7 linked regions of the Oryza sativa Japonica Group genome follow. The protein of the gene in region 7 interacts with the protein of the main gene of each other region in a pairwise test. Links are inferred from orthologs where the notes say so. Each region holds a gene or a part of one and is shown on either strand. Other genes may lie near its edges. The genes, in order: histone-lysine N-methyltransferase ASHR3-like; uncharacterized protein; two-component response regulator-like PRR1; protein indeterminate-domain 16; FKBP12-interacting protein of 37 kDa; thioredoxin-like protein CDSP32, chloroplastic; putative protein Brevis radix-like 3.

What was found.
Region 1: the proteins of putative protein Brevis radix-like 3 (region 7) and histone-lysine N-methyltransferase ASHR3-like interact in binary tests that used the Arabidopsis thaliana proteins (3 or more experiments, as listed by UniProt). The link is inferred for Oryza sativa Japonica Group from reciprocal best matches to the Arabidopsis thaliana genes BRX and SDG4.
Region 2: the proteins of putative protein Brevis radix-like 3 (region 7) and uncharacterized protein interact in a two-hybrid assay, tested with the Arabidopsis thaliana proteins (2 studies listed by BioGRID). The link is inferred for Oryza sativa Japonica Group from reciprocal best matches to the Arabidopsis thaliana genes BRX and EIF3G1.
Region 3: the proteins of putative protein Brevis radix-like 3 (region 7) and two-component response regulator-like PRR1 interact in binary tests that used the Arabidopsis thaliana proteins (3 or more experiments, as listed by UniProt). The link is inferred for Oryza sativa Japonica Group from reciprocal best matches to the Arabidopsis thaliana genes BRX and TOC1.
Region 4: the proteins of putative protein Brevis radix-like 3 (region 7) and protein indeterminate-domain 16 interact in binary tests that used the Arabidopsis thaliana proteins (3 or more experiments, as listed by UniProt). The link is inferred for Oryza sativa Japonica Group from reciprocal best matches to the Arabidopsis thaliana genes BRX and IDD14.
Region 5: the proteins of putative protein Brevis radix-like 3 (region 7) and FKBP12-interacting protein of 37 kDa interact in binary tests that used the Arabidopsis thaliana proteins (3 or more experiments, as listed by UniProt). The link is inferred for Oryza sativa Japonica Group from reciprocal best matches to the Arabidopsis thaliana genes BRX and FIP37.
Region 6: the proteins of putative protein Brevis radix-like 3 (region 7) and thioredoxin-like protein CDSP32, chloroplastic interact in binary tests that used the Arabidopsis thaliana proteins (3 or more experiments, as listed by UniProt). The link is inferred for Oryza sativa Japonica Group from reciprocal best matches to the Arabidopsis thaliana genes BRX and CDSP32.

Annotation. Positions count from the first base shown.
Region 1 is NC_089036.1:24,530,848-24,534,814, reverse strand, and holds the end of histone-lysine N-methyltransferase ASHR3-like, read left to right. Parts: intron 1-2; coding exon 3-96; intron 97-595; coding exon 596-674; intron 675-1,455; coding exon 1,456-1,627; intron 1,628-1,724; coding exon 1,725-1,805; intron 1,806-2,573; coding exon 2,574-2,949; 3' UTR 2,950-3,261; downstream 3,262-3,967. UniProt on the Arabidopsis thaliana protein: Histone methyltransferase. Involved in stamen development.
Region 2 is NC_089036.1:33,988,219-33,992,822, forward strand, and holds uncharacterized protein, read left to right. Parts: upstream 1-1,324; 5' UTR 1,325-1,418; coding exon 1,419-1,755; intron 1,756-2,945; coding exon 2,946-3,478; 3' UTR 3,479-3,654; downstream 3,655-4,604. Other genes in the region: uncharacterized protein, read left to right, coding at 253-758; uncharacterized protein, read right to left, coding at 4,197-4,604.
Region 3 is NC_089036.1:25,050,651-25,055,254, forward strand, and holds two-component response regulator-like PRR1, read left to right. Parts: upstream 1-1,367; 5' UTR 1,368-1,993; coding exon 1,994-2,153; intron 2,154-2,284; coding exon 2,285-2,446; intron 2,447-2,530; coding exon 2,531-2,664; intron 2,665-2,788; coding exon 2,789-2,956; intron 2,957-3,161; coding exon 3,162-3,243; intron 3,244-3,342; coding exon 3,343-4,193; 3' UTR 4,194-4,465; downstream 4,466-4,604. Other genes in the region: glutaredoxin-C4, chloroplastic, read left to right, coding at 7-86. UniProt on the Arabidopsis thaliana protein: Controls photoperiodic flowering response. Component of the circadian clock. Expression of several members of the ARR-like family is controlled by circadian rhythm.
Region 4 is NC_089043.1:21,201,213-21,205,990, forward strand, and holds the start of protein indeterminate-domain 16, read left to right. Parts: upstream 1-1,703; 5' UTR 1,704-2,064; coding exon 2,065-2,203; intron 2,204-2,427; coding exon 2,428-2,830; intron 2,831-3,528; coding exon 3,529-4,501; 3' UTR 4,502-4,778. UniProt on the Arabidopsis thaliana protein: Transcription factor regulating starch metabolism by binding directly to the promoter of QQS. The IDD14beta isoform attenuates the transcription factor activity by competitively forming heterodimers with reduced DNA-binding capacity.
Region 5 is NC_089040.1:16,713,337-16,717,377, reverse strand, and holds part of FKBP12-interacting protein of 37 kDa, read left to right. Parts: intron 1-1,090; coding exon 1,091-1,144; intron 1,145-1,611; coding exon 1,612-1,773; intron 1,774-2,196; coding exon 2,197-2,266; intron 2,267-4,041. UniProt on the Arabidopsis thaliana protein: Probable regulatory subunit of the N6-methyltransferase complex, a multiprotein complex that mediates N6-methyladenosine (m6A) methylation at the 5'-[AG]GAC-3' consensus sites of some mRNAs.
Region 6 is NC_089041.1:17,432,629-17,436,437, forward strand, and holds thioredoxin-like protein CDSP32, chloroplastic, read left to right. Parts: upstream 1-1,621; 5' UTR 1,622-1,803; coding exon 1,804-2,709; 3' UTR 2,710-3,023; downstream 3,024-3,809. UniProt on the Arabidopsis thaliana protein: Probable thiol-disulfide oxidoreductase involved in resistance to oxidative stress. May participate in the reduction of alkyl hydroperoxides derived from oxidative stress by acting as a physiological electron donor to the BAS1 peroxiredoxin.
Region 7 is NC_089038.1:30,808,803-30,813,321, reverse strand, and holds the start of putative protein Brevis radix-like 3, read left to right. Parts: upstream 1-1,499; 5' UTR 1,500-1,906; intron 1,907-2,183; 5' UTR 2,184-2,331; intron 2,332-3,947; 5' UTR 3,948-4,056; coding exon 4,057-4,161; intron 4,162-4,519. UniProt on the Arabidopsis thaliana protein: Acts as a regulator of cell proliferation and elongation in the root and shoot. Regulates roots architecture and primary root protophloem differentiation.

The sequences.
Region 1 (3,967 bases), on a different chromosome or scaffold from region 7:
AGGGGCCTTTACATGAGTTGTTCCAAGAATTGCCACTGCTCAGATATGTGTACGAACAAGCCATTCCGCAAGGATAAAAAAATAAAAGCTGTCAAGGTAATTATGTCCTGCAATTTTTTTCTTGATTTCGTTAAGGACATCAATTACCATTACATTCTTCCTTACCTGTGTAACTCTTTCGGCATACATATAAAGTTGCATGCTGTGATATTATCTGCCGTAACTTTTCAAATTTGTCAAGTTCCTCATTTGTCGAAGAGCCTGTGCTTTTAGCTACAAGTTGTATCATCATGGAACAACTAACTTACTGATTACATTATTTGAATTTTACCTAAACTTGGAACTGAGCTTCAAACGTTGATGATATCTAATAACAGAAGTATTGTGCCAACGACTCAAAAGTATTCAAGTCCACAAACCTCCTTTGTATTGTTCTTTAATGTAAAATGGCATATGGCTATGATAGTGCTGTTTGAAGTTGTCATGCCATCAAATGTAGATTACTTTCACCTTCTGTTGACACCTCCGGGCACCATCATTCTTCATTTGTTAGGGAGAATAAGTCTGTAACTGCAGCAACTACTTTTCTGTACAGACAAAACGTTGTGGATGGGGTGCTATTTCATTGGAGCCATTGGAAAAAGGTGATTTTATAATTGAGTATGTTGGTGAAGGTACAAGTTACTCTACCATTTAAACTTATATTATACAAATTAGCATATTCTTTAGTAAACTGTATGCATGTCATTGTGGAGTCACATTATGCCATTACAGTACAATCCAAATTTCTTGACATGAATATTTCCTGAAGATAAATTTGAAGCAACTTATTGGTAGTTAGCATGAAAAAGCCTGTTTAGTCATTGCATCTGTTTAACAGAAAAGGTACCTCAGCTTTAGATGAAAACTTATTATATTAATCTGAAAATTGGATAACGAGTGTACATTTTGTTCCCACTCTATTTTATAACATAACATAGCTACGAAGCCTACAATTATGAACAATGGCAGTTCTTGTTGCCACTTATTCTTGTGACCTTAGCTCTTTGTGGTTTTTATTTTATTACTCCCTCTGTCCTAATATGTAGCTATTTCTAGCAGTCAAAGTGCATCCTAAAATGTAGCTATTTCTCTACCTACCTTTTCATCTCAACCCATCATAACCATTCTCCATTTAATTTCTTCACCTACTTCCTCTGCTCAACCAATCGCAACCTTTCCCCATTTAATTCAACCTACTTCTCAAGAAATGCTTCCATTTTGGGACAGAGTATGTCTCCTTCACTGTTTTTTAGTTGAGTTTTATGGCGCTGTGGGATAGCATCGTATTATATCTTTCTGGGTTTGATTCAAAGGCTCTTAGCTATTCTCTCTATAACTAATTACAACAACTTAATGCTATGCTCATCTGTTCTTTTCAAATGCTTTTCTAATGTGTTTTAAACATTATTCCAGTCATCAATGATGCAACATGTGAACAAAGGCTTTGGGACATGAAACGGCGAGGTGATAAAAATTTCTACATGTGTGAAATCAGCAAAGATTTTACAATAGATGCAACATTTAAAGGAAACACATCACGTTTTCTGAACCACAGTTGTGATCCCAACTGTAAATTAGAAAAATGGTAATGCCATCTTTTTGGAACAGAAAAGCTCTGTACTCGGTGTTTGTGAACAGTATGAAATGATTAATGTTCCTGATTGTCTATGTGGCTTGTCCAGGCAAGTTGATGGTGAGACAAGAGTTGGTGTTTTCGCCTCTCGTTCCATCCAAGTTGGAGAACACTTAACTTATGACTACAGGTATGTGCAAACAATAGTTTTTCAAACTATATTTTTAAGGATCCTAAGTATTCTTACTGAAAAAGGTATAATGAATACATTCTTTTGATATGGAGATATAGTTCCTGCATAGAGAAACTGCTTTCCTGCAATCAGCTATGGTTAACCATGATTTGAAATATATGCATATCTAGTGGAGTATATGTACATATGTAAATTCTGGTGTGTGAACTAGAACCTTTGTACTATTATTGTGTGGCATGTAGCTTTTACATCCACATTATGGGCTCTGTGAATGACTCGGCAAGAAAGAGAGAAAATTTACCTCGTTTTTTGCACGCATGCTTCCCAAACTAATAAACGGTGCTTTTTTGGTGCAAAGAACATATATACGAAAGTTACTTTTAAAACCATATTAATCCATTTTCAAGTTTAAATAATTAATACTCAATTAGTTGTATGCTAATGGCTCACCTCGTTTTGAGTATCTTCTCCTTATCTTTTCTCCTCCACTCAAACGTTGTTCACTTGCTTCCCACTTCCTCTTCTAGATGGTGAATTTCCAAATCATGCTTCGGTAGCAGAAACACCACGATTTTTTTCTGTTATTTTCTTATGAAACCAATTAGCATTTGTATTAGATTAAAATACCGTTATTATGTGGGAGCGTTGAAACGGTGACTATTCTCCCAGCCCACACGAAGAAAGATTTTTTTTTCTTCCAGGAGTCTTGTGAATAATAATGATTTTCTATGAGCAACAGTAACAATAGTTCACGTTCCTTTTCAGGTTTGTGCATTTCGGGGAGAAGGTTAAATGCTATTGCGGGGCACAAAATTGTCAAGGTTACCTGGGCAACCAAATAAAGAATCCTACGCAGCGTGCTCTCGCAATTGCAGCATTGGAGAACGAGTGGCTTGAATCTTTGAAGATACAACAGGACACCTCTGCTTCAAGACACAAACCGATGACACATTTGTTACCTTGGACCAACTGTATAGAGGTACCATTTAACTTGAGAAGCAAACGGAAAATACACCGGATATGCTGGGGATGCAAAAGGAGGAGATCAGCCGTTGCCGTTACATCTCCAACAAGCATACAAGCGTCAGTTACTGAAGCTGCTGCTGCTGCTGCTGCTGCATCCCTGCCCGCTTTGCCATGAAGTGGCAATAGCTGAAGTCGCTTCTCATCTGTATAATATAGGATGACACATTTCTCACATGAAATTGATTTTTGAACGACGATTCTTTTGCATTGCTCCTCCCCACCACCACCAAAACTCCCTGTTGTAATTTGTTACAATATTCATTTGATTACATAGTTTGTTTAATTTACAGTTGTTCGCTGAGAATACTCGACTATCTCATGTAATCAATGTTGTGCTCCAACTCTCGATTGCCTCAGCCCTCAAGTTGAGGCGAGTACATGAGGGCTATTATTGTCTTAGAGAATCTTATACTATTATTTTGACACATTCCTTCTGGCTAGTGACAAAATATCAGAAACACGGAGAAGGCACTGGTACAGAAGAGTATATCAGATTTCAACATTCATTCACTCAACATTTCTAGATTGACACTGAAGCATTTCTTCGTGGAAAGTAACTGCATTTGAAATAGATCAAATCAACAAAGCAGGGGTACCTGTCTCAGTCCCTGTTGCAGAACCACTTGGGTCACTGATAGGTGCAGAACAGTGATAGGTGCAGAACAGAAGTCATATTTGCCAATTGCCGTAGTGTTCGTACACAGAATCAAATCAGCGTACAAAGTGCTCAATTCATTGCCTGATAGCAACAAATGCAGTCTCAATCGACTCGAATCAGATTCCCATGCAAATCCAATACGCAAGATGTTTTGACGGTCCAATAGACATGCCAAGAAGTACCTATCATCCATCACACAAGGGAAGAAAAACAAGCATCTTGACAAAGAAATAATGTGCCGCCTCCCGCCTCCCACCATCACCAGAATACTACCACACAACCGGAACAAACAAAGGGAGTGACAATGCCGACATTATTATAAAATGACTTGTATTATATTCCCAACATTAAAGTTTGATATTCGGATACATTTTGCTCACTGTGGCAGACAAAGCAGACCACCTAGAGCCCTTTTATTCAGAATATATGCAAGATAATAAAGAACATTGGTCATAGCATATACTAGTACTATATG
Region 2 (4,604 bases), on a different chromosome or scaffold from region 7:
ATAGATACGTGTTACAGATCTATTTAGACTAGGCCATGTAGTATATCTGAGACTGAACAAAGGATATACTAATTCCTTTTCTTTTCGACATAAAAGGGATACTAAGTTTTGTAGCAATTCCGATCCGTTCTAAAAATACAGTGTGATATTTAAACTATTCATGTATAGAATATCTATCCGAGGAATATAAATTCTAAACATACACCCAATTCTGCATGCAAATCTTTATTCGCTAACTGTTCTACACTGCAGGGAGCAAATCGGAAGATCCACTCATCCCCGCACTGGACAAGGGCGCCGCGCTGATGGTTTGCAGGATCTGCAACGCCAAGGGCAAGCACTGGACATCCAAGTGCCCCAACAAGGACTTCGCCCCTCTGCAGCTCGACGCTCTCGTCGACAACAATATTCCTCCCAACTCTGGCGGCGACAATGGCGGCGGATCCCGGCCGGGCAAGTACGTGCCCCCGAAGCCGAGGGAGTCGGAAATGCGGCGGAGGAACGACGAGAACTCGGTCCGCGTCACCAACCTGTCGGAGGACACCCGCGAGGAAGACCTCCGCGAGCTGTTCGGCAGCTTCGGCCCGCTCACCCGCGCGTACGTCGCGTTGGATCACCGGACCGGGGAGAGCAGGGGGTTCGGCTTCCTCAGCTTCGTCTACAGGGAGGACGCCGAGAGGGCCATCGCTAAGCTCAATGGCTATGGCTACGATAGCCTCATCCTTAATGTCGAGTGGGCTGCTCCAAGGCCCAACTAGCCTTTACTAGCACTAAAATTTTCTATTCCATCCGTTTCAATCATATTATAAGTTGCTTTGATTTTTTCTAGATAAAAAATTAAGTTTGATTTAAATTTATAGAAAAAATATAACTTGAGTTGTAAATGCTAAATGTTAGTTTTAGTGAAACTAATTTGGTGTCATAGATGTTGCTAATTTTTTTCTATAAACTGGGTTAAACTTAGGAAGTTTTAACTAGAGAAATGGTCAAAGCGACTTATAATATGAAACGGAGGGATAACATAGTATTATACTTACTACTATCTGCTTTGCATGTTTCATACTATAGTGTTGGATTAGTGTGATATTTTGTTGAATCAATGGTTTCATCAGTTATAATATTTTGAGGAAGTTGCATGGTTGAATGTTGGTGGTTGGTTATGTGTGTACAAATCCAAATTAGTGAGAACACTAATATTACTAGGCCCAATAGAATGTCTCTGAGGCCTAACTTATCCGGCCCGTAGACTAAAAAGCCCATCAACGTGGATACCGCCTTACAGATCGGGGCGCACAAAACGATCCGAGCCGCTCGTTCCATTTCCATTCCTACGCCGAGGTCTTCTTCCCCACTCTCTCCCTCCCACGCCGCCGCCCCCGCAAACCCTAGCGAACGCAGCGGAGAGAGGAGAGAGCGCCATGGCCGTGGAGGTGGCGACGCAGAAGATCAGGTGGGGAGAGCTCGAGGAGGACGACGAGGGGGACCTCGACTTCCTGCTCCCGCCGCGCGTGGTCTCCGGGCCCGACGAGAATGGGTTCAAGAAGGTGGTCGAGTATCGCTTCGACGACAAGGGGAACAAGGTGAAGGTCACCAGGACCTTCCGCGTCCGCAAGATCGCCCGCGCCCGCCTCTCCAAGAGCGCCATCGAGCGCCGCTCGTGGCCCAAGTTCGGCGACGCCGTGCAGGAGGACGTCGGCGCGCGGCTCACCATGGTGTCCACCGAGGAGATCGTCCTTGAGCGCCCACGCGCCCCAGGTTGTCACTGTTCTTGTGCATCCCCCTTCCTGTCCAGATCTGCGTCGATTGACGTGTTCTCGAATCGAATTATTTGTTTATCGTTGTGCGCGATCTTCATCAGAACTAGACACGATGTATTGGAATGTTTCGTGCTGTCTATTCCTCTATGTGAGATAGATTATAGAATCGAGGCTGGTGATCTATTTAGGAAACAGCTGGTGCTGCTTTCCTTGAACACTACATACGTCAGGACTCTGTTATAATTTTTCTTGCTTGCTTGGTTTCAGTTTTATCATTTGCAGGCACACATCTAGGTAGAAAGAAATGTGCAATAATGTTAATCATTGAGCTTTATAGGAGCAGTTAATCTGCATGTATTGAAAGGAGTATTTAAATGGGTAATTATGGTGACACAAGAATGTCATTTGAAGTTTTGTTTAATTTTGAAGCGATTCTGGGGTTGAATATTTTTAACATTGAGTGGAAAATTAATAAGAGTCCAAAGTTAATATTTTTGGACTTGAGTGTAAAGTTTCAGTTAGATCTTTAGAGAAGCTGCGGTTGTTTTTAATCGAATATTGAGACAGGGGACATCGATAATGCAGATTAACACGTCTTTATTCTTCCTAAGAGAAGTGTTGAAAATACTGGATAGTGGTGGATCAGGAAAACAATTCTTTTGTGAATACCTATTATGTGCGTATTGTGTAATTGATTGTGGTTTGGTGTGTTAGTCATGCGTATTGTCTGATGATAGAATTTTCATATTGCAGTGGCATTGTATCTTTAGTTTTGTTGTTCAAGAATTATGCATAGGTAATTCGATATCTATCATGGGTGCATGCCCTCGTCCAGTCGTCCTTATACCAAATTGATCTTCGAAGTACATAGTATCGTCACATTTAGTTATGCTTGTTATAACCAATGCTTTTGGTCTTCTAATGCATCGACACAAATCTTCTTAGTGGAGTGCAGCCTTGTTGAGATCCTTCATTTTTTTTGTTCCAAATGATCTATACTAGCTGACTTTGCTTTAGTCTTGTAAATGTTTATGCCTTTGTCTTCTTGTTTGCTAACTGTCACTTAATTTTATAGAGTAAAGCTGAAGAACCTCTCCCTTTTTTCCCCAAAGGCTCAGCTAACTTTGCTTTAGTCTTGTAAATGTGTATGCCTGTCTTCTTCTTTGCTAACTGTTCATTTAATTTTAGGGAGCAAAGCTGAAGAACCAAGTGCTTCTGGTGATCCACTGGCAAGCAAGAGTGGTGCAGTTCTCATGGTTTGCAGAACCTGTGGGAAGAAGGGTGATCACTGGACCTCAAAGTGCCCCTACAAGGATCTAGCTCCCCAGACAGAAGCTTTTGTGGACAGGCCTCCCACTGCTGATGGCTCTGGACCTCCAGGTGGCGCCGTGAAGGGAGCATATGTTCCTCCAAGCATGAGGTCTGGTGCTGTTGATAGGGTTGGACATGACATGAGGCGTAGGAATGATGAGAACTCTGTCCGTGTGACCAATCTATCAGAGGACACCCGTGAACCCGACCTACTTGAGCTATTCCGCACATTTGGTCCAGTTAGCCGTGTCTACGTTGCGGTGGATCAGAAGACTGGAGCAAGCAGGGGGTTCGGCTTCGTCAACTTTGTTCACAGAGAGGACGCTGAGAAGGCTATCAGCAAGCTCAATGGTTATGGTTATGATAACCTTATCCTTCGTGTTGAGTGGGCAACACCAAGGCCAAATTAATTTTGTTACTCCCTGCAAGCGTTACATACTTTTCATGAATGTTCGATCAGTATGTCTCTTGAAATAGTACTTTTGGTTTGCGCATATCCTGTGTCCTGAACTTAAGCTGTACTATTTTTGCTTGGACGAGAATAACTGAACTCGCAGCTATTTCCTATATCAGCTGATATTTGCAAGTGTGTTTGTATGGATGTGCGAGGGTTCCATATTTCATCTTGTTCATTGGAGTTTTTCTTAAAATCTGTTTGATTGTCGCTCAACCTGTGCAACCCCTACAACTGCAGCTTCCTGCAATGTGCATGATTCTTTTTGATGCCCCTGATCACGAGCCTTGGGGAGTTTCATCATCAAATCGACGTTAGCTAAAGCAATGAACAGGTTGGATGCTGTAACAACCGGCAAAAATCTGTTGGCAAAATACATCTGCACGCGGATAGATTGCAGCGTACAACAGTAGGAAAAGGGACTTAACAGTCTGACGAATATCTCAGCCACGCCGAGTTACAATTCCATCAGGGTTCTGGTTGTCTGTACCTACTACTAATACTCCTCAAAATAGCAGCATCATTCGATGATAGTATTGGTACAAAAAGGGTTCTACAAAAAGGTCATATCAAGGACCTTAAGAAAACAGCGAAGTATATGTCTCACGCCTGTACTGCAAAACCTCACGCCATATCTGCACTTGCAGCTCTTCCTCTCTCCAAGAAATTCAGCCTCACTCATCGAAGTGAGAGGCATGGTGGATACAAATGAACCATTTGCCATCAACCTTCTCAAACACATTGGTCGCAACCTGCCTTCCCCAGCTGCTGCTCCCTTTGGTCTTAACCAGCTCCAGGCAGGTCACATACCCAAGATCACCTCTCACATGGACCTCAACATCCTGCAGATCAATCTGGAGAGGGAACTCGTAGTCCGCGTCGCACACCATCTCCCAGCTCTGCATCACCATGTCGTAGCCCGATATCCGGCCTGCCGAAGGATGAACAACGTACACATGGTCGCCCTTCGCCCATGCCGAGTGCATTGCGACAAGATCCCCGTTCTTGAAGGCATTGTAGAACCGCGCATTCGCTGCCAGCACTGCTGACCTGCTGTCCTCCTGGAGGACTCGGAGCTCGTC
Region 3 (4,604 bases), on a different chromosome or scaffold from region 7:
AAACAGATACCATGGCGATGCACAAAGGAGGGAACTTGGTCCCTCTGCTGACGGAGGCAGGAGCAATCGCCACTCCTTCCCTGTAGATAAATACCTTTGCCAAAACGTGTTTGTGGTGTGTCAATGTCATAGAATAAAGGCGAATATATATGGGGACTTCCACTGTCAGAACAACTTATTGCTGATAGTAGTAGCTTTGGGTGACTTTCAAGCCTGTATGCAGCACTACTCTAGCTAATAACTCATTTTGTATGATTTCATTGGTAGCAATAAATATGATTAGTGCGTCCTGTGAATGAGACTGATGACATCGGCACTCCAAGCTCCTGCTACTGGCTGCCAGCCTGCCTCCAGATTTTTGAGATCGAGATGTTGTTGTGTCGTCACTGATACCAACCATCCACTCCTCTCGGTGGAAGAAATACAGCCAGTGAACTGGAGGAAACACCCTTCGTCAAAATGATTGTTTTGCCTGGCCATAGTTCAGAGCTGCAATCAAAAATCTTGGTTGTGTTTACCATTCTGCTGAATTACTGAATTACAGCGCTGGTAACAGATCAGTAAACAAACGACAGCGCTGTTAACGCTAAACCCATTTTGCAGCATCGCTGATTTGCTGCCGGAGCCCGGAGGCCACCACGTACATCGCCAGTGGCAAACAAGAAAAGCAAAGCTACAGAAAAAGCGCTAGGCCGGCGCCACGAGCCGCCACCACAAGTCCACGACCAGTCGCTCTCCGGATCGGCGTAGTGGCAATGGGCATCCCAAGTTGCCAACACGGGGAAAAAAAAAACACCCCCCATCCAGCTGCTGCTCTCTACCGGCCACTCGTCTCGTCCGGTAGCTCAAAATCTTTTACTCATCAGCCCAGCCACCACCGTATCGCCATGCTGCCCATCAAGGTCTGTACTACGTGAAAACGTGAGAGCCGCGTTTCCCTCTGGATTTTTCTCCGCCTTGGCACGTCCGCGGTGGGCTGGCGCGGCTTTCGTCGTGATCCGCAACGGAGGGCGGGGACGCGGCCACCGTGGACGCCGCCGCACGTACGTGGGCGTGGCGCTCCCACTCCCACGGCACCACCACGGCACCACCTCCCTCCGCCTCTCGCGTCGTCGTTTCCACAGTACTACTACAGTAGCGCGTCTCCCTGGCGTTCGTTCGCTGGCCCCCAGCTCGCGCGCGTGGCGGCTCCCGTATCGCACGGCCACGGCCCCACCACGCCCGCCGCCCCTAATCGCATCCGCGATTAAGATATTTCCGTGCCAGGTAGGCGTAGATATTTTCTCACCGAAATCACACGCCGCCAGGCCGGGCCCATCTGGCTTAACCACGCCCGGCTCTTCCCCTCCATCCAACCTGGCCCTCCCACCCACGGGGCCGCGGCTCGCGGCTCGTCCCGTCCCGTCCCGTGACGAATCCATTGACACCGGCACACGCACACGCACACCCGCACCGCGCGACGCGAGTACGCGACACAAACCGCTCGCGACGAGCCGTTTCGTTTATTTTTACACCGCCCCGGCGCGGCGTGACGAGGCCTTTTCTTCTTTCTTTCATCTCTCGCCGAGCCGAGCCGAGCCGAGCCGCGTGCCCCACCGAGAGAGGAAAGCAAAAGGTAGGGGGAGGAAAATATCCTGTGCCAGTAGAGCGGACACCAACGCCGCCACCACCACCGCCGCCGCCTCCTGAATAGATTAGGCGCGGATAATGGTGCGGGCCGGACCGCAACGCGCGGCGGAGGAGGACGCCGCCGGCGTCGGCGGCGGGTGGCGGCGGTAGCACACTGCTTAGCCTCTGGGGGCGATACTACTGGCGACGGCACGGGATATGGAGGAGGAGGCGCCGCCCGCAGATCCAACAACCGCTTCGTCCTCCTGCGTCGTCTAGTCTAGGCGCCGGCAGCTGCTGCTGGCTGCTGTGCTGTTCGTGCTGATTCGGACGCGTCGGCAGCTGGTGACAAGTGGCTAGGGGGGGAATCCGTGCGGGTCGGGGTATGGTGGGCGCCGGCGAGGGGGATCGCGTTGGCGGCGGGGCGGCGGTAGGGGGAGGGCAGCAGTTCGTGGACCGGAGCAAGGTGAGGATTCTGCTCTGCGACAGCGACCCAAGTAGCTCACGGGAGGTGCTCCGCCTCCTCTGCAACTGCTCATACCAAGGTCAGTTCAGCTTTGTCTGCTTAGTATTTGGTTTGCTCTTATAATTAAGGATTAAGATTGCTTTAGTAGATGAATTAGCAGTTCTATCACACCTTCTCGCATGGAATGATACGTCTTTGTTTTTGTTTCAGTGACTTGCGCCAAGTCTCCGAGGCAGGTGATCAACGTACTCAACTGCGAGGCGGGGGAGATCGACATCATCTTGGCCGAGGTCGATCTGCCCGTCTCCAAGTGCTTCAAGATGCTCAAATACATCGCCAGGAACAAGGAATTGCGCCACATCCCCATCATAAGTAAGCTGTCCTCCTATTCCTCTGATGCCCATGCTCGTAGGGTTGTTGTAGTGACCATCCTCATCTTTGATGCGAATTATGCAGTGATGTCCAACAGAGACGAGGTCTCTGTTGTTGTCAAGTGCTTGCGTCTCGGGGCAGCCGAGTACCTGGTCAAGCCACTGCGCATGAACGAGCTGCTGAACCTCTGGACCCATGTGTGGCGGCGAAGGCGGATGGTAAAGGGGACTATGTTGATTCATCTTCAAATTCTGTGTTGAAAAGCATGCTCTAAGCTGAGATGGCTGTGGCGTTGCTGTAGCGTGTATGAGTTGATCTTAAGTTGAATGTTGGTGTTGGCAGCTTGGTTTGTCGGAGAAAAACTTCTTCAATGACAATTTCGAGTTGGCGTTATCGGAACCTAGTGACGCCAATACCAACAGCACCACTCTTCTCTCGGATGACACAGATGATAAGCCAAAAGAAAACATTAATCAAGAAACAAGCACCTCGAATCAACATGAATATGAGGTAACCAATCAAGTACTAGTTATCCTTTTATATTTTGCTGTCCAACATACTACTTCTCTATTTAGTATCTTTCTACCTTTGTGTTCTGTTTAGATGCTAGAGCATGCCTTTTTGCCTCATATGTTCAATTGATGATGATAAGATGCTGAATTTTTTGCATCAGTCTACTTGTTAAATGCCCTTGCATTTCTTGATATGTTTGCAGTCTAATCCTTCTGATGCTGAGCCTAAACAAAAAGGCACACCAGAGGGTTTACTAGTCTCTACTGAAGGCGGCGACCAAGCTTGTAAGTATCTTGAGCCTTAAACCATTTCCTTTAGCTGATTTAGCAGATCCCCCAATTGAAGAATAGTTTCTAAGGTTTATGCCTTTGCTTTTATGCCAGCATCTCCCGGAGTAATGTTTTCACGTCCAATAAAGACTAACTTGAGGGTTGCTGAGTCTTCTGCTTTTCTAGCTTATGTTAAGTCAAGCACCCCAACTACCAGCTCATTTGACAGCGAACTACAAAAAGGTGGAAATCGGTTAGACTCTTCGGATCACAGGGGTAATTTCTCTAGTACAACTGACAGAAGTGACACTGGCACTGATGTAAATATTCGGGATAAAGAAGCCTTTGAGATGCCAGTGCAATACCCTGTGGTATGCTTTTCTTCCTCTAACTTGCATCTGGAGCGAAGCAATGAAGGCCAAAATGATGCTTCAGGAACTCCTCCTGTATATCATTTTCCCTTTTATTACCCAGGGATGATGGACCACGGTATGACACATCCTCCGGTGCAAAATTTCCAAGGGAACATAAACAACGCTCAAGTGCATACACCACAAACGTTGCTCCCTCAGTATAATGTTTATCCCCAATGTCATGGTGTATCTATGATGCCACCATTTCAGTATAATCCTGCTGGTATGAGCATTCAATCAAATCAACTGCCAACACAAAATATGTGGCCACAGGCATCAAGCACACCAATGCCCGAGGAAACATGTAGTCGGTCTGAACGGAGAGCTGCAGCACTTGCCAAATTCAGGCTGAAAAGGAAGGAACGTTGTTTTGACAAGAAGGTGAGGTACGTGAATAGGAAGAAACTTGCTGAAACAAGGCCGAGGGTGCGAGGGCAATTTGTTAGACAGGCAAACTATACAGATATAACCAGCACTGGAGATGATATCTCAGAAGATGAAGATGATGATCCATCCTCCAGGGAGGTAGAGATGGTTTCTTCTCCAGAGTAGTTTGAAAGGTTTTCCTATATGTAAAATAGAGTGCAGATGATTACTGCTCACTTTGCAACTCATTAGATGTAGGCAATACATTTCTTCTGCTTTTAACTAGGCAATACATCCACTCGCTCACACACAATACATCCTTTTTGTCCCCCAAGGAACTTGTGGCATATCCATCACTGTTACTATGGACGTTTTGGAGAAAATCATCTTTGAAGGTGAGATGTAATTATGCTAGTTAGTGATGCATAGGCCAGTCTAGATCGTAACCATCTTGTTTCAGAATCTTATAGGACTTTACTCAGTGCTCCTTCTTAGACACGTTTTTACTTCCATTTTCTCGATGTTGGAGGCTGTCCATGTTTGAACATCGTGTTCTACCACAGAAGTCGATTTTGGAGGTTGTACATGTTTGAACTT
Region 4 (4,778 bases), on a different chromosome or scaffold from region 7:
TTCTACTACCAACATTATTATCGGTAGAAATGAACTTAAACATTGATTTATGAGTTTTATCACACAAAAATATATTCCATTACTAGTAGTTAAGGTGGTAGTACAAATACATTTCCACTAGATTAAAAAATATAATTAATTTACATTGATTAATTCTGCTATCAGTAAAGACCAAAGAAAAACAACTCTTTTTTTTTTACCGGCTAGACCTTCCTTTAATACTAGTAAAAGACAAAGTCAGTTGCCAGAAAATGTTTGAAAATACTAGCTAATATATATTACCTGTGTGTTGCGACGTAATTTGAAAAAGGGACATCATCAACCTGTTTTTGCTATCACTTACTTATCTCATTTTTTTACCTTCAAAAAATTAGAGAGAGTTGGTTGGGGCAGTGGCAGATTCACCACTCGCTTTACCACTAATGTTTGTTAAAGCAGTATATATGTGTGTATTTATATATAACTCATTTTTCTAAAAACATAACTCATTTTTCTATTTTGTTTATGAATACGGTTGTATTTTCTATATATATATACGACTATGTCGATGAATATATTTTAGATCCACTACGATCAAACAGTACGTACTTGGCCATATGCATCCTTTATCTCGTACATCTAGAAAACACTCCATTTGGAGCCTAGCAGCTGAAACATACTCCTACTTAACTGGCATCGTTGAGTACGCTATCTTAATCAGACAAACAGGGCGATTAATAATCAAATGCACAATAAGCTTCCAAAATCAATCATTCTCCTTCCAGGCTCGACCGAATCCTTTCTAGGAGAATGACAAAGATCCAGTTAGCATAATCTTGGTGCTAATCACGATGTGAGAAAAAAGACTAATTAAATCAGGGCCTTAAGAACATAAATACTTAATTATAATAGGAGTATGTAGGGGTACATACGCTATGAATCACATATATTATTAGTACAAGCCATGCACGTGGATCTACCCACCTAAAAGTCCTTGTGGCAACAATTTTACAGTGGCCACTTTTAAGTACTTTACAGTGCACTAGTACATTTTCGTGGAACCAAAACAGCCAAATTAATTATTTAATTCATCTCACTAACAAATATCAGGAGATAAAACTATCAGGGATACAGTTCCTTGTGGCAACACCGTCTTTTATAGACACAATTCCTGATGCACACTGCACATGCTGCACAAAGGAATTACCTCATTTTGTAATTTAGTATGAGATTAAATTCTCTTGCTGAAATCTAACCTACTTAACATGACTTTAATACCTGATGTAGCAGTTAGTTTTGCCATCTCAGATTCTTCCTTGAAAAGGATACCTCAAAGGCTCAAACAATTGTCCAATGTCAGAGTATTAGTATACTTTCTCTCTTTGCTTTTTTTTTTCCTTTCTAGCATTTGTTGTTTTGCGCATACTGACTTGGTAATAGCTACTCCTAGCTAGCTAGCCAACAATTGCAAGCTTCCATCTAATCCTCCTACCCAAACACCATCTATCCATTATGCACCCATCCATCCATCTATCCTCACCCATATCTATAGGATCATTGTGTGTTTGTGTAAACTCCTTTTCCTTGCTCCAAAAATGCCTTTATTTATTGAGATGCATGCCAGCCAGTCCCTCCTGTCCTAGCTGAAAGGCAATTAAGACACAACCCTCAGAAGTACTTACCAACTCTAGCTCTCCTTCCCTCCTCCTCCCCATATAACCCCAAAGAAAGCTGCTAAAACCTAAAGCCGGTGGAAAGCTGCTTCCTCTCTCTCTCTCTCTCTCTCTCCTCCTTTGGAGTTGTCTCTGTAGCAGCCCACAAAAGCCAACTCCAAGACCCTTTCTTCCTTCTTCCCTCTCTCACATCTTGTTGATTCCTTGCAAGCTCATGGTGGTAGGAGTAGTATATTATAGTACTCCCATTCCCTCCAGTTTATTGTTTTGCCTATCGATCTCTTGTTGTTCTTCATCGTCCTCTATATAGAACGAACGAGTGCAATGCATTCTGTTCACATCGTCTGAGAGTTTGTGATCAGACAAGAACAGGAAAAAAAAGAGGGATTATTTTGCCTCTTCCTGTGCCGCCATGTTGGGTTCTTGCGCCCCGACGACGGCCGGGCCGCCGCCGGACGAGGCGACCACGCCGGAGCCGTTCCGGTCGCTGCAGATCGCCACCGCCTCCGCCGGCTCGGCGAAGAAGAAGCGACGGCCAGCCGGCACGCCAGGTAATTAAGCTAAGCGCCGAGACGCGCCGCCCCAGATATCATCATGCGAGTACATCCAATTATTATTGGTAGTAGTTGGCAGGATAGATTTGTTGCATGCAATTGTGTGGCGCGGCAATGGCCATGGTAAAAATGATATGGATGGGTTCGTTCTTCGTTGGTTGCTGCTGGTGCATGGAACCAAACGGCGCTTGGCGGCGGCGGCGGCGGCGGTGGTGGTGCAGACCCGGACGCGGAGGTGGTGTCGCTGTCGCCGAGGACGCTGCTGGAGTCGGACCGGTACGTGTGCGAGATCTGCAACCAGGGGTTCCAGCGAGACCAGAACCTGCAGATGCACCGGCGGCGGCACAAGGTGCCGTGGAAACTGCTGAAGCGGGAGGCCGGCGAGGCGGCGAGGAAGCGGGTGTTCGTGTGCCCGGAGCCGACGTGCCTCCACCACGACCCGTCCCACGCGCTCGGCGACCTCGTCGGCATCAAGAAGCACTTCCGCCGCAAGCACAGCGGCCACCGCCAGTGGGCGTGCGCCCGCTGCTCCAAGGCCTACGCCGTCCACTCCGACTACAAGGCCCACCTCAAGACCTGCGGCACCCGCGGCCACTCCTGCGACTGCGGCCGCGTCTTCTCCCGGTAAACCCAACTCTTCCACCGCGTAAAAACGTTTTTTTATTTCTTCTCCTTCTCTTTAGTAGTTTGCAAGTTCTTGATTCGGTTCGCTTTTTTCAAAGTTTTCTCTCTCTCTTTTTGGGATGTTTTTTCGGGGCCATGATTGTGGCGGATCGGTGCGCAATTCCCGAGGGGAAACGCCACGCTCTGCGTCAGAGTGAGCGAGTAGCGAGTGCGCGCGTCCACCACCTGCTCGCGCATTTGTTTCAGCAGCGCGCGGCTGCTTCCGCTCGTGTCTCTGGCTGGCTCGCTCGGCGCGCGCGTCCGCGCGTGTCTCGCCTGCCTTTGCCGCGCGCGGCATCAATGCGCGGGAGAGGGCGCCGAGTGGCGCAGACTAGCTCGCACGCCGCCTGAGTCCTGACAAGCTAAGCTAACTCAAAGGGCGGCGTTCTCCGTGCTTGGCAACTTTGCGCGCGCATGCAACACAGGCCGGCGTTCACGTTACGTAGATCCAAATAATCGTTTTGGAGTTTGGAGTTTGGACCCCTGTGCAGGCAGCGACATAAATCGATTGAAATCTTCTCACATACAATAAAGTCTCTCTCTCTCTCTCTCCCTGGTCTCGTTGTCTCGCTCGCCGTTGTTGGCTTCGTCGATGCGTTCTTTCCCGTTCGAGTTTGTGTACGTACTGATGTGCTGTTTGATTTGTTTGATGTGAGCAGGGTGGAGAGCTTCATCGAGCACCAGGACACGTGCAATGCCAGCCGCGGGCAGGCGGCGGCGGTGGCGGAGGGAGGGAACGTGTCGACGGCGGCGTGCGGCGGCGTAGCGGTGTTAGAGCAGGAGAAGCAGCTGGACCTGCAGGCGCCGGCGGCGGCGTCGCTGTCGCGGACCGCGTCGAGCACCAGCCCGTCCAGCGACGTGGTTGCCAGCCCCGTCGCCTGGCCCGGGGCCGGGGCGCCCTCGATGCCGAGCCCCAAGGCCGCCGCCTTCCGCGGCCGGTTCGACATGGCGCCGTCGCCGCCGCCGCCGTCGTACGATCATTACCGCGGGGGCGCTGGCGCGCACAACCTCGAGCTCCAGCTCATGCCGCCGTTCAACGCGGGTGGCGCCGCCGCCGCTCCGGGCGGGATGGGGGCGTGCTTCTACGCGGCGGCGCATCAGCATCACCCGACGGGTGTCTCCCAGTGTAACGACGCCTCCACGCAGCTGCAGCTCTCCATCGGCCGTGACGAGGTCATGGGCGCGGCTGGGACAAGCGACGAGGCGTCGGCCGCGGCCACCGCGAAGGAGCAGGCGCGGGAGCAGCTGCGGCAGGCGATGGCGGAGAAGGAGGCGGCCGGCGAGGCCCGCGCGCAGGCGAGGCGGCAGGTGGAGCTCGCCGAGCAGGAGCTGGCGACCGCCAGGCGAATGCGGCACCAGGCGCAGGTGGAGCTGAGCCGCGCCCACGCGCTCCGCGACCACGCCGTGCGGCAGGTCAACGCCACGCTGCTCCAGATCACCTGCTTCAGCTGCCGCCACAAGTTCCGCGCCGCGGCGGCGGGGGCGCCACTACCGGCCGCCATGAGCTCCGACGTCGCCTGCAGCTACGTCTCCTCCGTCGTCACCGAGGGCGGCGACGCCGACGATCCCCTCGACGTCGTCGACGCCACGCGGCGTCGCCTACAGCACGCTAACAGCATGGGCATCATGTAGCCAAAGAAGAATCCAGTCCAGCCCAGCTAGCTCGCGAAACGCGCCATCTCTTCGTCTACCTCTGATCGAATCTCTTCTTGTACGTTCCATTTCACCAGCAAATTAAGACGACGAGATCGTGTGGTGTAATTAGACGCTGCATATGCTGCTAGGCTAGCTAGTGTTTTTTGTGTCTTGCCGGCCGGAAAGCTAAGCAGGGCTTGCTAATCGTGACGTGCATGGAATCTTTTTGTTGTTTGCTTCTCATTGGACTTTCCTGAGACAGCATTAGTGCATT
Region 5 (4,041 bases), on a different chromosome or scaffold from region 7:
TCTTCCAAAATCCTCTCTTTGATCTATGCACTTACACATTGTCCTTGCTTCATGTAATAGTTAATCCAAGACCTATTAAGTACATAGTAGAACAGTATATTAACATAAAACAACCTTATTATCACATTTGCATATATTGTTACTCCGATGGAATTCTTGTCTCTACATGCTTGTGATGCATATCACACAGCTTACATGGAATGGCTGAGGTGTTGTTCTTCACCCCACTCAACTTATATCTATAGCTTTGCTACTTTGCTCACGGTCTTCTCTTTGTTTTGTCTTTTCTGGATATTCCTTTTGTGATGGGATATTTCATGATCTATTTGTTTATTCTGCCATTTTAATTTTGAATCTGTTCGTCTGACCATTCACCCAAAAGAATGGGAATTATAAATGAGAACTGTGTGACATGTCATATGGTGTTGCAATGTTATATGGGGTAAGCACCATGCTGCATTGAGCCAAGTGACAGTGGCTGGAGGAGAAAACCTCTAGGAGAGGGAGATAGGCACAAACAGGAATTTACTTCTTAATCATCTTGGTTCATAGAAATGATGTGATGTGGATGCTAACAAACCAGTTTGATCCTTCCAACTAATTAAGATATCATTCCAAAACATTCTGTCCCTAAGAATACCTTGTAGATTACTAGATCATCTGTAACAAGTTGGTTGATTGCTCCCATTAGTGCAACACTTTCATGGCTAATGGGTACATGTTACATAGTCAATCTGGTGGCCTGTTTAAACTTGCATATTACAGGAACACTGACAATCTGACATGTACAAGCAACGCACACCTGTAGTTGTTTACCAAGTAAAGAGGATTCCTATTTGTTACTATGTAACATGTTTAGTGAGGTGCTAGTCAGGTGCCAAACTGCCAGACTACTTTCTAATCCCAACATCTTGAGCTCCTTGTAATAGTCTGAAGTGTTATATTCATATAAGATTAATAATTGCACTGAAACGAATAATACAATTAAACATAAGGTCCATCTCCTACAAGCATGATTCTTAATAATGCCTTCCCTTCTGTTGACAATTTAGATAACTTGTTTTAATGCCCTTTTCTGTATGATGAACAGACAAGGAGATTATTGCTTGATCCAGCAATCCACGAGGAATTTACACGATTAAAGGTTAGCGAGATTTACAAAACTAAATATTTGTGCTGTATCTTTGTGCAATTTTTTGCACTAATAGCTAGACACAAATTAAGAAAAAGCAATTATTGGATTGCTTGAACCAATGACTATAATCCTCTTTAATTGTGTATTAAGGGTACAAAACTTCGCCTTTCATCACACTGCATGCATATGTCGCAAAAATAATGTATTTATATTTCTCAGAATAAAAATATGCATTAAGTGACCAGTTGTTTTGTTTTGGGTAAGGGAGCAATGTGGTATTTTGATCATATTGTCTACTGGGTGTAGTAGGCATGACTATGACAACTTAATTTGGTATGACTGAAATTTTGGGGTGAATAATAATTGCGTTATTTTTCTTGGCCTAAACAGCTAAAGCACAGTTTCTAGGCTCACTGTCTAATGCAAGTAACTGTACTTGTGCATCAATCTTGGAACTTGCTTTTTTTTTTTACCAGAATCTTGTGGAGGAGAAGGAGAAAAAGATCAAGGAACTACAGGACAATGTTGCTGCTGTCAATTTTACTCCATCCAGTAAACATGGGAAAATGCTAATGGCCAAGTGTAGAACATTGCAAGAGGAAAATGAAGAGATTGGGGCGATGGCTTCTGAAGGAAAAGTAAGCCTCTTATAGACTTAACCCAATATAACCTGTCTTCTCATTCTTTAGGAACGTGAAATAGCTGATGAGAGAAGTTGTTGTTGAGAAATAGGAAAGTGGAATGAAATCCAATCTGATTCAAATATTGAATATCTCTCCTTGTCCAAGCAGAAGGAAAAGGAGACAATTTGAGCAGAAAGCCCATATTGCCACCTGAAAGAGCTAAATATTTTTACTTATTTTCATGGAACAACGAACATATTACATGAGAAATAATTGCATTTGATTTCCACTCTCCTCCACCCCCTGCATGCATGTCCGCCACCTTGAGCATATATATAGTTGCACCTGTTTTTCACTATTATCACTATCATCAAAGCATGATAGGCTTTTGATCCTACTACTTGTAACATTGTATTCTAAAACAATTTTTGGGTACAGATCCATGAACTTGGAATGAAAATTGCAGTTTTGAAGACTCGGAACAATGAACTCAGGAATCAGTTCAATGGTATGTTATGTAATATGCATATATTCTCCCTCCGCTTTTTTATGTAACTAGCAAAAAGCCCGTGCGTTGCAACGGAAAACAATTTGAGTTTCTAGCTTATTAAGTTAATTAAGCACATATGTAGTCCAGATAGTACTTTTATGATTTTCCTTATTGAACGAGTAGGTGATTTTGAAATTTGGGAAGAATCAGCAGTGAAATAGGAGATGACTCGCTAGAAGGTGGTTTATAGTATAGATTGTACGGACCAAAAATGTCAGTTGTAGAGGTGATGTAGCAGAACAGACACCACCACTACTAACATTTTAAGTAGTATAGATATCAAATTGAACTAACCAACGTCAAAAAATAATAAAGGATAGAGATAGTACTTTATAATCCTTTCTTCCCATTTTGCCCATTGATGATTAATTTGGACAACTACTTTATATTCTTAGCTCACTACGTACATTGTTTCAACTCTAGACTAATTCATCCTCCTGTTTAATATTGGTTGCACAATGTAGTGAATTTTATACTAGCGTGTAGCCCTTAACTATAGGAACTATTGAGGTTCATAAAGCGTTGAATGCCTATATGGGAAAACAGATGTTTAGAGCTGATGGCTTGATCATCTTTCATTAGACAAGAATTTTACGCTTAATATTAGTAGCATGGAAAGAAGGGGAGAAGTTTCTTCCCTTACAGTGAGTATCAAACAGAATGGATGTGAAGTTATTTTGCATTCTTTAGTCTACAGAATCCCATCATTAAAAATTGGCAAAATTGGTTTTAGAGCAATGAAAGTTCATAAATTTGGTTTTATAGCACCAAAAGTTACTTGTTCACTTTAATAGCATCCTAATGTTTCTTCCGTTCTCATTTTTGGCACTCCGTCAATTTTCTCTGTTTGCCATCAACGTCGACTTGTATGGCTCAGCCAATCTCCAGATCATGGAGATCAACCAGTCCGGACCCTAGGTCTCGCCGGCGGTGACCTTAGCCTCTGCCCGCTGCTTTGCTGGCTGGTGCTGGTCGTACTGGTGCCCATCTGCCGGTGCCAACCGTGGAGGCAACAACCGAGCGAATGATAACTTAATACTCTTTCTGTAGGAAACTAACTGATGGAGTATAATCTAATCTGGTTGTACATGTGTACTGCAAGAAAGAAGGGGAAAAATGGCTTCTTGATTCACTGGCAGTATCTGCATTCAAAAGGAATCACAACGCCGCAAGATGAGTCGTGGAGCCCCTCGCTGCATCACTCCCAACAGTACTCCGCGGTTCTGCACATCAATTAGTGCGTGCAAGCCGTTGCGTCTACTCCGCCGGCCATGGTTGCATTATGCCGGTGAGGGTTCCTGTTAGCAGGAATGCAGGATTGAGGATTGATGGGGATCAATGGTACCGGCGATGGACGTGAGTCTGCTGGAGACACATCACCGAAGAGCTGATGAACTGGTCGTCATGACTCACGACAAGCAATCGGTCCAGCAAGGGTGAGCAGCGATCCAAGGCGATGGGGCCAGCAGTGGAAGGATTACACGTGCTGTGCCATCTCTTCTTCCACTACCGGCAGTATGGCAGGACGATGCTGCCATGGCGCAACCGATTCGAGAGGGGGGAAAATTTTGACGGCAAACGGTAGAAAACTAACGGAAGTGCTAAAATGGGGAACGGAGGCAATTTTCAGTGCTATTAAAGTGAACCGGTAACTTTCGGTGCTATAGAAACAAGAATGTGAACTTTCGGTGCTCTAAAACCAATTTTGCCTTAAAAATTCTAGTACTCAGCTG
Region 6 (3,809 bases), on a different chromosome or scaffold from region 7:
GGGCTTGCTTTTTTCGATGTCAGATTAGGCGGAGTTAATTAGACTGATTCAAGCCAAGTTAGAATAAACTCACACTTCAAGAGAAGAAGAGTTCATCATCTCCTACTTAGAACAACATCCACCCAATCTACATTGTAAACTTTATCACCCTCATTCATAACAAGAACACAAGAGTAGGGTGATACGCTTCCGAGCAGCCTAAACTTGTCTAAAAAGACCATATGTTCTTATTTGCATGATTCGATTGCCTCGTTTCCGCTCACCCATTCCATAGCCAAATCTTCCTTGGGGGGTGCCACTCCTCCCCGCTGAAGGAGCTCCATACAACCATTGATATACATAAATAAGGCTTGCCACCAATGCAACAAAACACTAAAGTGATTCTCTATCTATTTGTAGCCTGCCAATAGATAACTATTTTTTTCATATATCCCTATTAAAATAAAACAAATCATAGAGACGTGTGAAAGATATATGTGATATAATAGGAGGTCAATTATCAGAATCCTTAGAGATAATTTGAGATGAACCGTCTCATATTATGCCATTGCAACTACAAGTGCTCAATTATCACAAAACAAAATTTAAATCATTTTGTGAATGTTGCTATAATATATTTATTGAAACTACAGGGACCATCTAACATCCATGATGATCGGTTATTTCATAATTTTACAAGTAGGGATATTTAGGATTTGATACTCATAAAGGTGGCATTTCAGGATCCCAAAAAAAAACCTCCGTGCCTATGACATGGTGGTTGTTCTGATCCCACAATAACAGATGCGTGAGTGGTACATCCTAAATTGTAACTATTTATAGATCAAAAAATTCAAAATCCCTCTTTTAAGTAAGGAACTAGTTGTGATAATACATCACAATGGATTGAGAAATTTTTCACGCCTTAAGGGTGTCTCATCATTGATTCATTGTATCAAAATACATGCCAATACTAGTTATGAAAAAAAACTGGTAGCATTGGTATAATAAATATATGTCTACTATCCGAAGATTTGAGGACTAATTAAGTTCGACTCACAATGAGAAACATAAATGACAAATTCAAATTGTAAATATTGCACTATTCATGGGTATATATATTTTGCCTTCTTTTTCCCCCATTTAGTTGGTTGAGAGTCGTAGTAGATGCAATATAGTACTCTATATTGTTGATTTTTTTTCAGAATTTTTATCACTATTTGTCTTGTTTTTAAGAAGCAGAGCTACAACAGGGCTGGGATAGGGGGTAAAAATCCACTACCTGGTGGAATAACCTTCACAACAAAATCTGGGGTGACCCAATTGATGTTCTTGATCACAATAAATCAAAAATATCCAAGTTTACATGCATGCATGAACTCAATACCAGCCCCCAATTCTCCAAAAGTTGAAAAAACAAATTCTGACCATGACTATAAATTAAATGTGGGGGGAAAAAATCAGGGCTTGTGCTAGCTACCAACAAACCATGAATATATATTTCTAGAAGGGAAAAAAACAAGACAGGAATATTGACAAGGCGAGAAACCAACAAAAGTGCATGGGCAAAATAATCAGTCCCCCCCAACTTGAAAAATCTCAGCTGCTTGAAACCCCCCAGCCACAAACCCAATCCTGAACTAGTGGCTGTGTGGATGAACTCTGATTGGATTCCAGCTACTATTTGCCATCCATTTCTTGCTGAATTCTCTCTTCTTTAATTCATCCTCTCTTCTCCTCTTCTCCTTCATCACTAGGCAGTAGCCACAGTAGCCAGTAGCTAGCTAGCTTGTCAAGCTAGGAGCTAGCAGCTGTGTGTCGTCGATGGCATCCACCGCCGCCTTCCTGTCCACGCTCGCCGGCTCGACCAGCCTGGGCGGCGCCACGCCGGCCAGCGGCGGCGGGAGCGGGAGGAGCAAGACGGCGAGGTTCTTGAGGAGGCGGCGGCGCGGCGGCGCGGTGAGGGCGGCGGTGTCCGGCACGGAGCAGGCGCCGGAGACGACGAAGAAGAAGGGCGGCGGCGGCGGCGGCGGGGACGAGCGGGTGGTGCAGGTGCACAGCGCGGAGGAGCTCGACGGCGCGCTGCGGGCGGCGAAGGAGCGGCTGGTGGTGGTGGAGTTCGCGGCGAGCCACAGCGTGAACAGCAGCCGCATCTACCCGTGCATGGTGGAGCTGAGCCGCACCTGCGGCGACGTCGACTTCCTCCTCGTCATGGGCGACGAGTCGGACGCCACCCGGGAGCTGTGCCGCCGGGAGGGGATCACCGCCGTGCCCCACTTCACCTTCTACAAGGGCGCCGAGAAGGTCCACGAGGAGGAGGGGATCGGCCCCGACCAGCTCGCCGGCGACGTCCTCTACTACGGCGACCACCACTCCGCCGTCGTCCAGCTCCACTCCCGCGCCGACGTCGAGTCCCTCATCTCCGACCACCGCGGCGAGGGCGGCAAGCTGGTGGTGCTCGACGTGGGGCTCAAGCGATGCGGGCCCTGCGTGAAGGTGTACCCCACCGTCGTGAAGCTGTCGCGCACCATGGCCGACACCACCGTCTTCGCCCGCATGAACGGCGACGAGAACGACAGCTGCATGGAGTTCCTCCGCGACATGGACGTCGTCGAGGTGCCCACCTTCCTCTTCATCAGGGACGGCGACATCGTCGGCCGCTACGTCGGCTCCGGCAGGGGGGAGCTCATCGGCGAGATCCTCAGATACAACGGCGTCAAGGTCACCTAGACATATACAGATTCATCACTACGCAGCTCAGCTGCATGCAGCAACCGTAATTAAATTAATTACTGTACTACTCTCTTGATCATGATTGTAATTTTACACCACCACACTAGCTTGAGAAGATCAAGCTTGTTTTATACTGGGGACGATTTGATCAAACCTATCTCGTTGATTTGGTCCCGTGTAATACTAGAATTTTGGAACGTCAATTGCAAGTTCGAGACTTGATTTTGCCTATGATTGTATCTGTATCCATCCATCTATCATAGGTGGTGTTCTTATCTCTGAAGATGAAGATTAAGTTTTTTTACGCAAAACAAGGTGGTATTAACATATGATTGATTGAGTTTTGATTGTTACAAACTTAAAAAATAGATTAATATGATATTTTAGAGCAACTTTCATATAGAAAGTTGATCATCACTACTGATCGATGTTTTTACACTTAATGGGGACGATTTGATCACACTATCTCGTTGATTTGGTCCCGTGTAATAATACTAGAATTTTGGAACGTCAATTGCAAGTTCGAGACTTGATTTTGCCTATGATTGTATCTGTATCCATCCATCTTTCTATCTATATGATTGCCCAGTTAATTTATCTTCTGATTACCTTCTTTCTTAATTAATTACCCCATGTCTCAAAAAGAAGATAACAATGATCTGCTCACCAAGAGCAATGGAAGCCACAAGATGACCAAACAAGAACTGCTCACAGGTTTGCCAAACATTTGTCAAATGCCCAAACTGAATCTGAAGATATTTACAGGCTTCCATTTTCAGACGGAAAGAAACAGAGGGTAGCGTAGGGAAGCTGCCTACGCCGTAAAGAAAAGATCAACAGCAATGGCAGCTTGTCCTCCACAAGTTCACATCATCTCACAGCAAGTTGCTTTCACTTCCAGATCTTATGCACTACTTGCAGGTGGTAATGTCGGTCAAAAACTGGACAAAATTGCCTTCCTTGGTTTGCTCTGCTGACTGCTGGTCCTGGGATGTCATCACAAGGAAGCAATCCAGATCACTAGATTTACATAGTTGACACAAAAGGGTTCAGTTCAGAAACTGCTCAATTAGTGCATGCCCTAACGTAAAAAAAAT
Region 7 (4,519 bases):
GAGGCAGACACAATCGCCCACGTGACCTGGCACCGTCAGGGGGCGTCGGGCCCGAGGGTGATGTGTTCGCCCTCCTCTTTACCGGGAGTATCATGACTTAGAGACTTGAGGCAGACACGATCACCCACGTGGCCTAACTCCCTCGGGGGGGGGGGGGGGGCGGGCCCGAGGGTGATACGGCTGCCCTTCTCTTTGTCTCCCCAAGGGGTCGGGCCGCTCCCGTCTCGGCCCCGAGGGCCGAAGCGCCCCGACCCCTTGTGGGTTTTGCGCCACGTATATGGGGTAGGTGAGCATGGCGGGGCTCACCTAACCACATTTATTGCAGTTTTGACGAGCGCGTCACGCCGCCTGTATCGCAGTACAGCACGCTCGTTTATCCGGTCTGTGACCAGTCACAGACCGGTCAGATCATGGGTTAGGTGGCGACAGGCGGTCTGACGCACGCCTCGCCCCATCCCGTCAGGACGAGAGCCTCCAAGCACTCGTCCCTAGCTGGAGCCGGCGTGTTAGCTCCTGGAGATGGCACGTTGGTTCCGGTCAGATATATGCCAGGCTTCATCCTAACCATTACAGGCAAGATATTGTATGAAGAAGGGCGAACATGCAGATTGTTAAACTGACACGTGGTGGACAAGAATGACCGATTTGTGACCGGTCTGACAATGGTCAAGTCATCAGCAGACAGCCATCTTCCCACGTCGCGCCTGCCTCCGGCGGAAGTGGAGGTAGGTATGGGCCGTCCCATCAGAAGGTCATTCGGACGGCGGCGATGCAAATCTCCGTCTGTTAATGAAGAGAAGTCAAATTGGAAGAAAGAGAGGGGGAGATGGTGCATGTGGTATCCCCTTAAGATATAAAAGGAGGACCTTGCCCACTTAGAGGGGGGATGATTGGACTTTTCCAGATTGGGAACCCAGAACAAGAGAGAGGCTGGCTCATACTTTGTAGCTCCTTCATACACAGATCCTCCAAAACACAGGAGTAGGGTATTACGCTTCTCAGCGGCCCGAACCTGTATACATCGCCGGCGTCTTGTGTGTTTCCTGTCTCGCGAACCTTCCACAAATTGGGAGCTTAGAGTCTCACCCAGGGTCCCCGGCCGAACCGGCAAAAGGGGACCAGCGCGGTCTCCCGGTGAGGAGCCCCACGCTCCGTCAGTCGCTATGGGCTACTCGCCTATTGGGCTTGCAAGCACACGCTGACGTACTTTGCGCCATCAAGATCGGACGGTCCTCGATCATGACAAAGCCCCGTCAGCATATGCATCACATCGCACGGTCCTGATCGCGCCACGGCAGCACGTTCGTCATCGCCACGGTCCGTGCCGGGGCCCGGGCCTTCGCGGGCCCCGCAGCGAATCACCGTAGGTGGGGCCCAGCCCAGGACCAGGGAGATGACCACACGCCGCGCAGGATCGGACGGCCGCGATCTCGCGGGGACCGCCGCGTGTCCCGTGGGGGAGGGACTATATATGGGCCGGAAACGAGACGGCTTGCACTGCCTGTGCACTCGGCGCCCTCTCGTCGTATATGGGGGAAGGATCCGACGGCCCAGCGCGACGCCCGCAGTGTTCTCTCCCTCCCCACCTCGATCTCTCTCTCTCGCTTCGTGGCTCTTCTCTCCTGCGACTGCGAGAGGAATCTCCCACTCAGTCCCAGATTGTTTCTGTGCGGCGACAGCGTCGCTGCGTAGCTTCTGATATCTTTGCCGCCGCTGTGTTTGGCGCCATTGACGCAGCCGCATCCACTCCTCGACCAGACAAGGGAGGCCTTTCTCTCTGTGCTATCTCCAAAGGCTTCTGAGTCGATTCAGAGGCAGAGCTCGAAACCGAAAGGGCGGCGAAGGTGAAGCCGACCGGCGGGCTGCAAATTGCGCTCGTTCGCTCACCGGCGACGTGGAGGAGAAGGTAATGGTGGTGACGGCGACGCACGCAACCAGCTTGCTTGATGCTTCGTCTTATCTTTGCTTTGCTTTTTTTTTGTGTGTGTGTGTGTTGAGTTACACTTTTTCTATGTTTTGTTTTCTCGTCTTGCATGCCGTTTCTTACCCTGTTCTGTTCACCAGAAAGTCAAAGTCCGTTTATCTTGGTGTCAAAAATAAAAGGCCGTTTCTCCTTGCATCCCGCTCTCGCTTCTAGGCGTATACATATTTATTTTGGCACATTTTTGTCTGCATCATTTCAGGCGCCGGAGAGAGAGGAAGAGGAGGCGGAGCAACCCGGTCAGCGCGCGCGTAGGTGGTTTGGGTACGCACACTGTTTACACGGCGAGCAAACTCGGAGGAGAGAGAGAGCTGTGGCTAACGTAGCTATCTGGGGGCCGTCAGTTACCTGTAAGCATCATCTCATCACTCTCACTGTGCCTCTCATTTCTCTCTCCCTCTACAGCAACATTAATTAATTACTAGCTGATACTACTACTGTACAAAAGAAATTACTACCACCGGCCAAAAGAAAACACACACAATACCGTGTTTAAGGTTATCACGTCGTGTTTCTATTAAAAAAGCGCAAAAGATAATCAGCAAAAACCCTACCGGGCTCCACAATGCAGTCACTCGATAGCCGGTCGCTTTAGCCGGGGCCCATATTTTTCTCGGTAGGGATGGAGCAGGAGGAAAAAAAAAATAAAGTCCAGGCAGTACGTTGATCTGGGGGAGGGCGTGGGGCCCCAGCTGCAGTGACTGTAGCTGATACACATCTGAGCGGCTCCCTGCCTCGTCCACCGAGCTACTGCTGTTGGTGTCGTTTGGAGTCTTCCCCATACGCCCCTGCCTACCTCGCGTGGGTAGCTGCGCCTCATCTGCATGAACACTGTGCACAACACATACACAAACGGGCGGAGCTAGCTAGCCATAGCACACTGGTGGTTAATAAATTTCCATGTGCGCGTAAACATCAGAAGCTTCCCTGCCGCAATGTAGCTGACCGTATTTTACTACTACAACCTGCTTTTCAGTTTTGATTTACTAGTAGTATATGTGTGTGTGTCATGTGGCATGGCGATTAAAGAATCTCTGTGCCTGTGCCCGTCGATCGATCTGCTTTGCCCCGCGTAGCGTTTCTTCCACTGTGTTAGAGCAGCCTGCGAATGCATGCCATGCATGCAGGAGTAGCTGTGAACGACTGTGATGCTGCCATTGGCATGGGTCTTGCTTGCTTTGTTATGCTGGTGCTATACTTTTTTGTCGCTGCAGGCTCCAGTGCTCCACTGCACCAGCTAGCCAGCCAGCTTGCCCCGTTTTGACGCCGGTGGCGAATTGAAGCTCCAGAGACCAGAGTCCCTAGCTATAGCTATCTCTCGTACATACGCATGCTTGCATTGCTCTCTGTTGCTCAACGAGCCGGAAGGACAGCTCCTCCGACGCACACGCATGCGCACGTGTGCGTGGTCACGGACCGGCCGGATAGCTCTGTGCTCGCATAGTGTACCGGATGTCGTGTTCGCGTGCTTACATGTGAGATGCAAGGATGGCATGGCACGTCTGGTCCAAATGGTGTGTGGTACTAGAATGGCGTCACACACCGGCTTGGAAACCGCTTTACGTTATTACAGTACATTGTAGATTGTGGCTATGGCTAGAGGATACTAGACTGATAGTGTCACTGTTGATACTTGATAGGAGTACGTACTTTCGGCGTGTATTTATTTTGGTCGTACATACGTGTGCGTGGATACACGAAATCTCGCACTCGTTTAATTATCATGGAAATGTGTACTATACATGTACTAAGTGTACTATTGCCATGCGAACAACGACAAAGTTTGACCATCTCATGGATAGACATTCTATCACATGCATGCATGCAACTGTAGCCGTGGGCTGTAGTGTCTACATGACGGCATGTCTGATCAAACTTGATCTTTCGTTACAGCGGCTTCAATTCTGATAGATAGCCGTACTGTGGTAGTACTATATATGTAACGCTAATGCACACACTTTTGCAGTTCGATACACAAGGTGAGATTGTGGGGGGAGCGATTGACTACTGATTGATCCGTCTCGTCGTCGTCGATCGAGGAGAGGGAGGCAGATAGGGAGAGGGGGTCAGAGAAGATGCTGGCATGCATCGCGTGCTCCTCCAAGGAAGGCGGGGAGGACGGGTCCCGTGGCGCGGCCACGCCTCACGGCAGAGATGCCGTCAAGTCCCTCACCTCACAGGTACCCGTCTGTCCCTTCTTCTTCTTCGTCTTGATCTAAACTTCTTCTCGTACATGCTACTCCTGGATCGAATTTACACCTGCTACTTTGCCATCAGTACTGCAGTATATAGAGTGTACTACTACATGCTACTAGCTCTGTCTGTATGAGGAAGAGATAGTAGTAGCAGCAGTTAATAGACGAGGGGGAGACCAGGGGTGGCAGCCAAGATGGACGACCACTGAGACTGTACAGTAGTATACCACTAGTGCTCTGTCTCTGCTTACCCATGTCACAAAAAAGAGAGAGAGAGAGAGAGAGAGAGTACAGTACTCTACTTACCAGCAATGCCCAGGAATTGCCCAAGCATGGCCGATCT